2 linked regions of the Drosophila melanogaster genome follow. The protein of the gene in region 2 interacts with the protein of the main gene of each other region in a pairwise test. Each region holds a gene or a part of one and is shown on either strand. Other genes may lie near its edges.

Region 1 (6,121 bases), on a different chromosome or scaffold from region 2:
TTTGGAAGCTCTGTGAACTGTGAAAATAATACAAATATTAATATTTTAAGGGAATTTATAGATATGAAGTCCAGGTCGAAGTTCAGCTTAAAATCAATTGATTTACATATCTTTGATTTAAATGTCTTTAACGCACACAGTAATAACTGCGTGGAATGTCAATTTTAAACCATTGAGGCCAACCTATAAGATAAATATCTGCCATTTTATGCTCATGTGATATTAAGTCCATCTCTAAGATACACAATTTTTAGTTAGTGCTCTATTATTATGTAAAGCCATAATAAAAGTACCTCACAGGGAACTATGTTTTAATGGGGTTGCGTGATAGTAACCCTTAGTTTAAACATTCTTGTTCTTCTTGTAAAATTCTTCATTTCCCTGCGCAATGTGCACACTAAATTAGCCTGTTGCCCTAAATCGAGAGCACCTGTCACCTGTGCAAGGACTTTTGGGCGTTCCAAAAACGCGATCAAGTTCCGCTCCCATTGGTTTTTAGCTGGTGAGACAATTTATGTCGTCTCGCGATCTTGGAAATGCTCCATGGACACGCACACCTTTAAGGAAACATGAAAAAATGAGGATCGGCAGTGGAAAGTGAGTCCAGGTAGCGCAACGCAATGTTTTCTTTATGATGGCATAAATACGGTTTTAATTGAGGTTGCAAGCGGCTACTTGTTCGGTCATTGAAATCTCATCCACTTGGCATAAATTACGAAACAGGACTCTCCCTCGGTTTTTTCCATTTTTCAAGTGCCACAAAATGTTCGAGTTTATAATGTTTGGCCTGGCCTTTGGCCCCGACCTCATCCTCAATTCAAGAGCCGATCCCAAATCCCGATTCAATCTTATTCTCGGAAAAGCGAGGGAAACCCAAAGCAAGTTTAGTTTTTCCAGCCACTTGCGGTCTTCGTTTCTTTTTTTTTCGGTTGTGTCGTTGTTTATTTTGTTCGGGATGAAAAACCATAAAAAGTGGTTTCGCGTAACTGACAGCGTCAAGTGATTTTCCTTTGTTTTTCTTTTCGGAGAGGAAGTGTTTCTATTTCTTTCGTTTTTATTATTCGACAGGCAACAAATATCTCTTCGATTCTCCGCATTCTCGATCTTTTGTCTTGGTGCGCTGAAGAAACGAAAGACTGAAGTCACAAACGTGTATGGAAATGAGCAGTCATCCGCTTTCAGATTTGGTAATAGACTCGGTCTAACGGTAAAGCACATTTCACTCGCAAGATTTGATTTATAGCCAGTGGCCCTGCCTCACATTAGCTAATCGAAACGATATCAGCCCGCAGAAAGTTTCGCAATTAGGCGGGCAGAGGGTTAAAATATGACGCACTTAAAGCGCACGAGAGGCGCATGCGTAATCCTTTTTTCCTGTTTTAATTTTTGTTTAATTTTGATTTATGCCCGCTCTTGAATTTCGGCTTTGTTGTGTATCTATTTTTGGGCTGCATTTAATGAAGGGAAATACAATCAACGCCATCAACCCCTACGCATGCGCATTTTACCCTCGGCACATGGCAAAGGGTTTTTTTCGGGATTGTTGTGATCATTTTAATTGACTTTGCGCACGAGCGAACTCATCGGACCGAAGCGCCTAAGATAAAGGGCAGATAGAGGGCACTATATAAAACCGAGTGCCATATGTCGATGACGCCGATCTCGGTGATGCAACTGCATCAGCAGGCAAATGAGCAGTTTAAGATACGCGCTGCATCGTAAAATCTCAGATGCAGCGGCAGCTGTCAAAATAGCCAAAGACACCCACCGAAAAGTCGAGGGAGTGGAGTTCAATGCACTGGAACTCTATTACCACTACCCATCTTACCCATTACGATCACAGCGCCTCGGTCGCACCAACTATAACCCAATAAATCCAAATCCAGGGACCAGTGCACTTCGCAAGTACTCGCTCTACAGAACCGCTCTCTCACTCACTCACCCACCACCAGTTCAACACACCTAGCTCCTTTTGAGCTAAAAATGGATATACATATATATGATTATGATAATTCTAAACCATTCTTCGAGTTAGAAATTTAAAATTGTAGAACTTTTTACTAAGCCACCTAATCATATTTCAAATTAGATATCTATCTCAATTCTTTTACGCACAATTTCATATTTGTCTATTTTTTCACAGACCTTTTCAGCTATTTAGCTTTTCTTTATAAGCAAATCCATACAACACCGACAAAAAAACAGAGAGGGTGCAGTGGTGAGAGCCGGTGAGTGAGAAGCCGAGAGAGCGGCTTCATGTAATGCCCGTTTGCCGCTAAAGTCACGATGTTCAGACTTCATCCAATCGTCGACGCGATCGGTTGTGCTCGCACTCTCCGTGTAATCCGAACCCGATTTTGTGATTAGCCCTCCGCTGCGCCTGCGTGAATTCGTGGACCTTCTTCAATCAACCTGAACCTACGTGAATTTGTGCGTTTTGTTTACTTGTTTACTTGGCCCATTTGAAAGCAAATTTCCTGCATCCTGCATAAACAGAGGAAACGCACAGCGGAAATAGTATGAGTTATTAAGTCGCTGCAAACGGAAATAATTAACAAAAAAAAAATAAAACTAAATGTGCCGATCGCGTTTTAGCAACGGTTTCGATGCGGTTTCAAACACAATCGGTTTAAGCATTGACATCATTGATTTATGTCCCAAGTGTAAATAATTCGCACAATACAATACACCAAATTGAGGCTTCCCTCCCTCCACCAAATCAAACAAATCAAATGCAATGAAATGAAATGTTGCCATTAATTTGCGCACATTGCCATTGTTCAGAGTTATTGGTTGACTTTTAACTGGGATCCGTACTACTTTAAGCTGGTAAGTAGTTTTCATCGCCCATAACAATGGCAACAAATGAAGAGCGAAAATCACTTGCGAAAAGCGAAAGGTTAAGCAGCGTTCAATTGTTGCATTCTAAAATACAGTGCGGCCTCTTTAGAGCAAACGGGGTCGTCGCAGACAAAACAATAATGATGATGGGGCAATTTATCTCTTCAGAAGGCCGCTCCTCATCTTTACTTGGAATTTGTCTTGCATAATCCCCTTGAAAAACAATTCTGATATCTGAATATGGAGGAACTTTCGAACTGTTGTATAACTCTTTCCTATCATAACAAAAGCGGCAGGGATAATTGAAGGCTCCGAAATAAATTAGTTAGCCGACCGTCTATTAAAACGCGATTTGGTTTGTTGATGAGGCGCAGATAAGGCAGTAAATAGCATGGTTTTTTGCTCATTATGCCACAATCAAGTTCAATGTCTCGTCATAGAATACAGAAAAATTAGGTTCAAATTTCTAATAGAATTCCTCAAAGCAGCCACAATCAATCAGTCAAAAATGACTCGATCTCTAACCGACCGACCATACATATAATTACGTCTGAGAATTTTGCGGTTGAATCACAATCTACGATTCTAATACGTTCTACAGACCCCTTTCGAATCGTGGCTCAAATGCAGTGGCAGGTTCTGTTGGTTCGGCTGGTATCTCGGTCTGAACATCACCCATCTCGCTTTTGTCATTAATTTTAATTAGATATTTCCTTTTGGGAGTCACTGGCTGCATTTGAATAACAATTGAACGCCCTCTAAGACGAAATGTATTCTCCGCTTCCATTTCTTCATTGAAATGCCAAACCCTTTATCGGCAGGATGTCTTTGGGGTCTCTAGAGTGTCATTTACATATTCTTCGGATTCTTTTGGCCGTTCGTCTGTGACTTTTGTCTGTTTCTCGATTTTTTTCAATGCTAACAACCTAATCAGAGTTTGTTTTTCGGGTATTTGTTGGATATGGTAATTTTCGAATGACTGTATTTTATTTTTTATGTGGGCTTCATGTCGTGATTTCTCGCCCATGTGTGGACTGAGGTGCATCAACGCATTTATGCTGACTTTTGTTTCGTCTTCTTCGTCCATTAAGTGGGAATAGAAAGCCGAGATTTGGCTAGATAACTTTGCATACATCGTCGACCTGTGATTGTTGACTATTCGGGGTAACTGTTTCGGTTGCGGTTTTCACTTTCATTCAAAGAGGCGCTGTAACAATTAAAACGAGAGCTGCAAATCTCTTCATCTTCTCAAAATAAACCAAGGCAAAACTATCCGCATCGATTTCGCTTTCGTTTTGATCGTATTTCCGATCATTTGACCAGGGCAATTTGCACTTTCTTATAGCGCCTAATCGCAGGCCGACTTTCTAGAATTGATTTGCATAAGTGATTTGTCCAGTGCGGAGACTTTCGCGACCCCAATCTGCATCTCGGTCTAAAGACAGCTGACGTTCTAACTGTGAACGATAAATACACACTGTGTAGAAAAATATGCCCGAGACTAATTGCCCAGTGAAAATGATGGGCAATTATCAGCTGAAATGGCAACAGCTGCACAGCAAACAGCCCGTACAGTGATCACTCCGCAAACAAACAATGGAAATCTATATATTTTGGTGGTGAACTTGGGGTCAATTCCATGACCGTATGCCGTATGGGTCGAAACAAGTTTCTTAACCTAATTATCTGAGCCGCTTCGTAATATATATTTAAAATCGAGCAGATTTTGTACATTCTTTCTTATCAAACTTATGTTCAAATGATGGAAATATAAAGCTGCAAATCAATTTATTAAAAAAGAGAACAAAGCGGTTGCCCCCGTCTATGATATAATAAAAAGTTTATTAGAACTGCTTGCCAAATAAACAAACCAACGACCTTTTCTACAGAAGTCTCTCAAAGTAGAAAGACAAAAAGAAAGATATAAACCCCAAAACAAAGAAATTTACATATTTATGTCAAGTCCATTAAGCATATTCTTGGCCAGTTGTGGGGCCATCTTAGCCCGGTCTGGTCCATTGAGTTGGCCATGTAGTGAGCAGCCTCCGGGGCGATTAAAATTATCAATGTCGGGGCTGCGCTTGTGACACTTGTGCACACATAATAATGCCCGACAAGTCAGGCCAATTGTCAAGCTGGGCTAATTTGTGAGCAGCCGCAGTGTGTTAGTGCCAAGAGAAATATTTCAGCTCGTAAATAACTCGAACAGACAAGCTGCAGGTGTTGGGAAACTACAAACTAAGCAGGGTTAAGGTTTATAGGAAAACCACGTTGTTCGTAAATAACAAAAACAAAACTTATTTGGTGGCAAGCCCGGGGGGCAAATATTTATTCATAAAGGTAATTATAACGCCAAAACGTTAGTGAAACTGAATTAAGTTAATTTTGATAATTGTTTCAACCTTGTAGGAAATATTCAAATATGAAAATAAAAATAAAAACATGATTTCGTACAAATGCCTCCTGTGAGGATTGAACTCACGACCCCTGGTTTACAAGACCAGTGCTCTGCCACTGAGCTAAAGAGGCTCTGTTGAAACGCTGGCCAAAGCGCAATAGGCATAACCGCAGTCAGAACGCTTCTAACAGCTGGAAAAGTTAACAGCGTCCGTATCTGCTAGTTCTAACAGCGCACAAGCCGTTGGCTTTTTCCATTTGCATTAAAGCAGGCGTAACAGCCAGAGCTTCGAATCAAGTTATTACGCGTATATATAAACAAATATATATATATTAGAACCAGGTGTCATCTCCATTTAAGTAATTGAGCAAAATATTTTTGCATTGTTCCAACAAATTGTGGGCGCGCACTGAGCTCATCTCGCAACAATTTTGTAGGCGCGCTTGAAAGAGAATTAATAGTTAGCAAGTAACAGCAGAGGAGCGGGGCTGGTAACGCCCCCTCCGTGAGATAGACAGAAATTTGATTTGATTTTCAAGCTATTGAATTTACATAAAATCCAGCATTCGCTGTGTGGGCAGAAGATATTTAGCATACGCGCAGCAAACTATCGACATCCGAACGGAATGCATTTGATATATGGCTAACTGAAGATCCGAGATCGAGATCTCTGCTGATTGGAATTTATAGCAAGCGAAATCCCGGTTTGAATTCAAGTTAAGTCCCCTGATCCCGCGGGACCTTGGTGACATCAATATCATTCGCTGTCAAAGAGAAATGATCAAATGCTGAATAAACTTGTCACCATTTCGCTGCTTTTTGGGTCATTTCGTGTGAGATCTCCCGGCTAGACCGGAAAAATCGCATCTGAACAAGTTTCAC
Region 2 (7,630 bases):
AGCTTCGCTTTCTAAATTATCAAAGTTTTGGGGAAATGTTGTGGTATCTCTCGGATTTAGTTTTTAATATTCAAATACTATGCTTTTCTCCGCCCAACTGTCAACGCTGGATGGGGCGGGTTGAGTCTCTAAACGAGGGCCATTAATTTGCGCCCTCGAATTCGGACTGGGAGCCCGGTGTTCGTCCGATGCCTGGTCGTGGAGGCGAACGCGGATTAAGTAATCGCCCAAATCTACTCCACTCAATTCACTTTCTTTCCGCTTTCGCGGCGAGAGGCAGAAATTGAATTGGATCGAGCGAACTGGAGCGGATGGTCTCTCCTCACTGGTTTTGTGGTCTGTCGTGGACCGATCTCAGAAGTTGCTCACATTCGGGGCCGATCCGCTGAATGGTTAACATCTAGGCTGGGGCACTGCTTCACGATTTCTCGACTCTTTCCTGCGTTCGCACTCGCCGTGTTAACTTACAGACTAAAGCGTTTGAACGCGACTAAAACGAGTTCCTCGCTCGACTCCTCTCCGAGCCACCGATCGGATCGGTCAGCTGGCCCGATCTGCGATCTCTGGTCTCTCGGATCTCTCCCTCTCCGTATAGTATAGTCACTGCAAAGTGACCAAACCGCTAAGCTGCCGCTGCATCCAACGGCGGCTTTTCCTCCTCCTCGATGCTCCCTCCCGCGAAGATTTCTGGCTTTTAATTACAGGTGTGCAATAGATGAAGATGGTCGGATCGGATCGGATCGGCATCAGAGTTCTGCATCGCGAATTGGTTTTGTCGGCTATTTTTAGACCCGCCTCAATTGCAGATGAAACACCTCCGCGGCCTTGACTGGGCAGTTAAGTGCCCTTAATGAAGATGGGCATATACACTTGCAAGCAGATTACTGCGGGTTAGGGTATCTACATCAGATCAATCAGTGAGGGATCAGATCAACTAATCATAAATGGGACTAGAATTATTGTTTTTTTTTTTCTTAATTTTAATTCAATCAAAAGCATACATTTACGTAACTAGTCGAAAAAGTGAGTGTTCGTGCATCTTACTGGACGGGTTAATATGAATGGGTTAGTACCAGAGCCAAATTTCAATAATTGCTGCTGTGAATTTTCAAAGAGTCGCTTCCAAAATGCCAAAGGATGTGTTCCGAAAGGGTAAGCGTCAAGTCCGGTCGATGGGAATGGGATCCGCCTACGGATCTCTTGGTCTACTTCTTCTTCTTGCCCTTGCCCTTCTTGCCCTTGCCCTTCTTGCCCTTCTTCCCCTTCTTGCCACCGGTTAGCATCTCCTCGGAAACATAGGTCTCCGTGGTCACCTTGCTGATCGGAAGGGTTACGGGCTGCTTGGGCGTCCGCAGCTCGATCTCGATGGTATTCTTCTTGTGCTGCGACTTGGCCTTACTTCCCAGTTTTACTAGGAACACGTCGCTGTCGGTCTCCTCGCAGGTCTTGTAGCAAACCTGAAAAATAAGAAAAGCGACAAATCTTTTTAGATACTATGCAACAGCTAACCAAAATAGTCTCAATGCAACGCGTTGCATCTTTCGCAGAAATTACCATAAATAAAAAAGCTGTAGCGGATTGCCACCGCAAACTGAAAAGAGTGCTCCACACTTGGAGCTGGCAGATGTTACGCAACTGCCCCACAATTGAGGCAATCGAAAGCCTTCCCGAAGTGGCAGAAGTGGCATAGTTGCACCACCTGCAACAACGTTTAGGGGGGCAAAGTCACGGACTACCAATCGATCCACATTCCGCATCCGCACACGTAACTGGCGAACTTAAAAAATGGAATGCGGAGGCGATCGGCGATTGTGGTTAATGATTTAAGATCGAACATTCTTGAAATATGGATTTCCTTAGGCCACTCAGTGCTGCGCAAATGAATATAGGATGGACTCACCTCGATACCCTTGCGCCTTGTGTCCAAATTGACACCCTTCATGGTGTCCATGATGTCCTTCCGCTCGACCTGCATGCAACATGATCGCTGGTTCTGGACGGGACAGTGCGCGGGCACGATGGGATCGGATCCGCCGCAGAGTCGCTGGCGGTAGCAGTCGACCTTGGCCTCCTGGAAGTCGCAGGCCTCCTTGATCTTCGAGAAGGGCACGTAGTAGTTGTCGGTCTCGCAGGCATCGTTCCCAGAGTACTTGATATTGGCTCGCACCTTGGGGATGTTCGGGTGGTTGATGATGCGGCCGCCGGTCCGGCGCTTGATGTGGTTGCGAGCGAAGGAGCTGCGCTGGAGCATATCGTGCAGGCAGGACTCCTTTGCGGGCTCGCAGTCATTGGGGTCATCGCGATAGCAGGGATCATCGCCTGCGCCCAGATTGGGCGCAGTCTCGCTGCCATCCATCACGCTCTCCACCTTGTGGGTGTTCTTGAGTACGCGTATGGTCAGACCGCTGCCATTGAGGCAGGCCTCGAACTCGTCGTACGCCTCCGGACCCGGATCCGGCTTGGTCGGCTGGATGAAGCAGGGAGCCAACTCCGGACTGCAGTCGCAATCGCAGGCGCACTGACAGCAGCCATCACAGTCGTCCACATCTGAGGATACCAATTGGAAGGGATGAATCATCCTTAAGCCCGAGCTTCGGTGCAGGGATCCGCGTGTACTTACTCTCGTTCATGGGCTTGAGCATCTCATTGGTGATCTTGAACTTGCAGTCGACCTTTGGCTTCTTGCCCTTCTTGCCCTTTCTTCCCCTCTTCTTGGCCATGTTGTGCGGTTGAGTGATTGAGTGTGTAAGTCAATACAATTATTCACTAGGCTCAAGCTGAAATCTCAATTCCGAAAGCCTTCAATTCTCAATTTGGATATTGTACTTCACCAGTAAGTGGCGCAATTTCCGCACAGCTCGTTTTCGCGCTGAAATGAAAATTGAATTTGGGTTAGTGGATCGCTTCGAAAATTTTTTAACTTGATAGGAAAAAAAATAGTTCGGACGTACTGATTCTCTGTTTTAATTTCCATCCAAAACTCGGGTAACAACAACGAAAGATTTTATTTTTCTGTATTTTGTGCGGCAGACAACATTTCCCGTTCGAATGTATAAAACAAATGCTAAACGAGTGATCTTCTACACCCCGACTACTAGATGTTACTAAATGTTTCGCTGGAGTTACGAGACGTTTGTGTTGTTGTTCATTTCGAAGCCTACTTGGCATTCTCGAAATCCCAGTTGAAATCGTTTTCTAAATACATACATATATGAGCTCACCTTCATCACAGGCCATTTCGTACTCCTCCTCCCGTCCGTTGCACCTGACAGTGGGCTCCTTGTACCGAATTTTCTTGGTCGCCTGGAGGACTCCTGCGCAGACAGGATCGCAGTCTTCGTAGACGGCGGACGGACTATTCTCGTCTCCTACGCGGCAAACAGCACCTCCAGCCTGACGCTTCTTCTTGCCCTTGTCGTCCTTGCCACCCTTTCCATCCTTTGCGTCCTTTCCATCCTTGCCACCCTTTTTGCCATCCTTGTCCTTCTTGGGATCCTTTTCCGGTTTGTTCAAGAGCTCGGCCTGCATCTTCTCCTGGATGAAGCGTGGGTACGGTGGAATTCCGCCGCAGGGACCGCATTTCTGCAGCTTTTGTTCGATCGGCGAGAGATTGCAACGCTTTGTGGGAACAGTGGGGCATTCTGGGAAGAAGTATATACATTACATCATTAAAAGGAAGCATTTATATATGCTGATGATAGATTATAGTCACCTCTATCGAACTCGTCCTCGCAGTAGTCACAGGGACAGAGCTTGTCCAGATTGCACGAGTAGTACCTGAGGCACTTTGCCGGAGGCTCAACTCGCTTGGCACAAGGATCCACCATTGTACAGCGACGACAAGGAGGCTGGGCACACGAGCCCTTGCAGCCCTTCTTATCCATGGGCCCGCCGGTGGCAGTTCCGCCGCCACAGCAGGGACTGCAGGGATCGCACGGATCGCAGGGGTCGCAGGGTGGAGGACATGGTGGGCCACAGCTAGGAGGCGGTGGGCACGAGCCGCAGCTGGGAGGTGGTGGGCAGGGGCCGCAGGGACCACAGGGGCCACAAGGACCGCAGCAGGGCTCCGGGCACTTGGGATTGCGGGAGCAGACCTTGCTGAAGGGGAACGTGGACACAATGGTCGGACCATTGCACACCAATCTAAGGATCAGCACTATGTTGCCAGTCTGCATCTTGCAGAGATTGAAGAGGGGCAGCAGTCGCTTGGACAACTCCGATGTGGGACACCACTGCTCGTGACGTTCGTTCAGCTTCTCGTAGCAGGCACAGTTGTCCAGGAGGCCCTTGCTGGTGGGACCCTTCATCTTGGGCAGCTGGGCGATGTGCCCCAGCATGGCGTCTTCCCAGTCAGGATTCTCGATGTCAAAGGACTCCTTCACCCTGTCGAAGATGGGCTTCACCTTTAGCTCCGACAGTCCTATCAGGAACTTGCAGCTCTCCGTGCGCTTCTTATAGACATGCACCTGCAGCACATCCTTGTCCGTAATGGGGGAGTCCAGAGTGAAGAGGGCGCACTTGCCGCACTTGGGCGAACAGGGGTTAACACACGTGCCCACCTCCCGATCGCAGAGATTCACGTAAACCGACGAGCGGAACGTGATCTCTGTGCAGGTTGGATACTCCTCCGGAGCGCAAAGATTCTGGCGTGTGATCAGCAGATCGTCCACTACGAACTCGAACATGTAGAGGAAGTTTCCTGCAATCTTGGGAGGTTTCTCTGGCTTCTCAGACTTATCGGATTTCTCAGTTTTCTCAGTTTTATCAGACTTGTCCATTTTCAAAGGAAATAATTTTGGCTAGGCTTTTGTTTTGTCGAAACTAGAAATTTATATGCCCGAACACTCGCACTTCCAAAAATTTTGTGAGTAAATTTGAATTTAGATTCTGATTTTGAATGGCCGTCCAGACGGGGAGACTGTGGTGTTCGAACTGCTAAACCGACTGGATTTGCGAGGGCTACTGGAATCGGATGAATTTTGAAAACTTGATTCCTTGATTTTCGATATTAAGATTGTCTTTTAGGCAGATGAGTCTGTCTGTATGTAGATTTTATTACGCCTAAAATGCCTAGTAAGGTCTTATTTCTAACATATATATAAATTTTAATATTAAATTATATTATAATGGACAATAGCCTCCTCAAGTCACTGAAACACCAGAATTGGTATAAAAATTATTCAAATACTTTATTTATAGTTAAGATATGCGAATGATTATCAGTTGCTAGGCGCATCCCTTGTCAAACAATAAAAATGCTTATGGCAACTAAATGAGTACGGAATATAAAGGCTCGCAGCTGCATTTCCTACTCATGTCTTCTTGGCTGGCACGGTCTTGCAAGGATCGCAGGGATCGAATGGCGACGAACAGGGAGCAGGCCAAGTGGGCGGGCAAGGACAGCAACAGTTGCAGGGATCCTTGCACACTGGTCTCTGGACGGGGAAGGAGGATACCACAGAGGGCCCATTGCACACCAGTCTCAGGATCAGCACTATATTGCCCGTCTGCATTTTGCAGAGGTTGAAGAGCGGCAGCATCCGCTTGGTCAGCTCTGAGGTGGGACACCACTGTTCGCGCCGCTCCCTATTCCTCTCGTAGCACACACAGTCATTGGCCTTCTTGCAGGGGCCCCTCAGCTTGGGCATTCGCGACAAATGGGACTCGACGTTACTCTCCCAGTTTATGTTCTGTGAATAGAACTCCTTCTTCACCCTATCGAAGATCGGCTTCATCGGCAGCTCGGTCAGCCCGAGCAGGAACTTGCAGCTCTCCGTGCGCTTCTTGTAAACGTGAATGTGCATCACGTCCTCGTCCGTGATCGGCGATTCCAGCGTGAAGAGGGTGCACTTGCCGCACTTGGGCGAACAGGGGTTGACACAGCTTCCGTTCTCCCGATCGCGGATGTTCAGGAAAACCGAACGGAACGTGATCTCCGTGCAAGTGGGATACTCCTCCGGAGCGCAGAGGTTGGGACGAGTGATCAGCAGATCGTCCACCATGAACTCCAACATATACAGGAAGTTATCAGCAAGATTAGAGCGTTTCTCCGACTTGTCCATTCTCATATAAAAGCTTAAAAACTAGAAATTTGACAAAATTACTATACCAAAGAATTTGTTATGTGTTGAAAACGTTTTTAGAAATTTTCAGTCACTGAAACCTAATTTTGACGAAAAATAAATATGTTGAATTTTGAATTCAGATTTTGACGACGTGCCGAAAAGGAAAGACTGATTTTCGAAATGGATCTATGCGACTGAATGTAAAAGGCCTGCCTACGATTCAAAATATATAAATAAAAAGCTAAGAGCTCTGCATTCCTACTAAAATATCAACAATGACATTCTTTATATGATTAACACCCTCTGGGTAACCTGTACTCTTAACCTTTACTGGCCATCTTTTATGGTTGTCATAAACGCCATATACCCATATCATTAATTACATTTCACCTCCACAAGTAGATAGAAAGACGCCGGTCTGAGGTTTTCTAGCAATGCGTAAAATACTTTATTTAATGTCATTAAATGGTTCTACAAAAGTGATTGATCTACATTGCAGTTAATCGCAGTTAATAAGCGGCGCCTTCACAACTCCACTTCTTCCCGATCGAAACCCCAATCATTCCCCTTTTCCAGCCGCCTGAAGCTCGCCTAAGTGTAAGTGATCTGTGTATATAATGACTAACAAGTTGCAGAAGGGAATGGACTGGGGGGGGCTTTAAGACTAAACAAAAACAGAATAAAACAAAACAGAAATTGAGAGGAAGTCGAATCGATTACAGAATTGGTTTACAATTGTTCTTTCTCGGAGCAATGGGACAGTTTAGCTGCAGAGGTAGTTCCCAGTGACTCTGCTAGACGACACTAACGTCATGGGTCTCGAAAGGAGATGGGCGGAAAAAGCCGCGGCCACTGCACGAACTCGACGCCGTAGTGCAGGATGCCCGTGGCACTGACAGCGATCATTGCGCCCCAGAAGAGCATGAACAGCAGGTTCTCCGTGTTAAACTCGGCCGGATAGGTCATCGTGATCATGAACATGGCCACAGCCACAAGCAGCACCGAGGGGAAGGTGAAGAACCGCCAGCCATGCTTCGACTCCAGCGGCGATGGCACGGCACCGCCCTCGTTGTCGTTGACCAGATACTTTCCAAGGAAAAGATCGATGCTGTCTTGCCGCTGGCCATCGGCGAAGTTGTTCAGATAGTAGCGCATCAGCGAGTTCTTGCCGTCCTGCATGGCACCAGACTTGGTCCTCTTGCCCGTCCTGGTGAAGTCGGTCTTGAGCGCACACGTTCCGGAATATTGTAGCGACACCAGATCCGCGTTGTCCGCCCACACGCCCTTGAAAATGCTCTCGAAAATGTCGGAGGCATGTTCCACTTTCTGGCCCACATGAAGCACTCCCAGCTTCTGGAGCACCGCAGTGAGGGACCTGCGGGCCAGCATGCTCTGCACGACGTTCGTCCTATCGAGACAGTCGATACAATTCGTTCGGAAGACACCAGTCTGCGTGGACACCAATTTGCCGTCGTCGAAGACATGATAGACACCGAACTGATCCTGCTCATGGGCGAGGCGATCGATGAGTATGTTCAGCCGGTCCCAGCGCATCTTACGGCACT

Evidence for each region.
Region 1: the proteins of CG9133 (region 2) and sprt interact in a two-hybrid assay, tested with the Drosophila melanogaster proteins (one large-scale study listed by BioGRID).

What each region holds. Positions count from the first base shown.
Region 1 is NT_033778.4:11,393,602-11,399,722, reverse strand, and holds the start of sprt (sprite), read left to right. Parts: upstream 1-2,290; 5' UTR 2,291-2,829; intron 2,830-5,298; exon of another isoform or gene 5,299-5,370; intron 5,371-6,121.
Region 2 is NT_037436.4:1,249,315-1,256,944, reverse strand, and holds CG9133 (uncharacterized protein), read right to left. Parts: upstream 4,934-7,630; 5' UTR 4,779-4,933; coding exon of another isoform or gene 3,713-4,778; intron 3,642-3,712; coding exon of another isoform or gene 3,222-3,641; intron 3,093-3,221; exon of another isoform or gene 2,952-3,092; intron 2,870-2,951; coding exon of another isoform or gene 2,802-2,869; 5' UTR 2,721-2,801; coding exon 2,621-2,720; exon of another isoform or gene 2,579-2,620; coding exon of another isoform or gene 2,548-2,578; coding exon 1,901-2,547; intron 1,458-1,900; coding exon 1,206-1,457; 3' UTR 959-1,205; downstream 1-958. Other genes in the region: CG9130 (uncharacterized protein), read right to left, coding at 2,802-2,869, 3,222-3,641, 3,713-4,778; Bfc (booster for Crq), read right to left, coding at 5,313-6,068; Sac1 phosphatase, read right to left, coding at 6,876-7,630.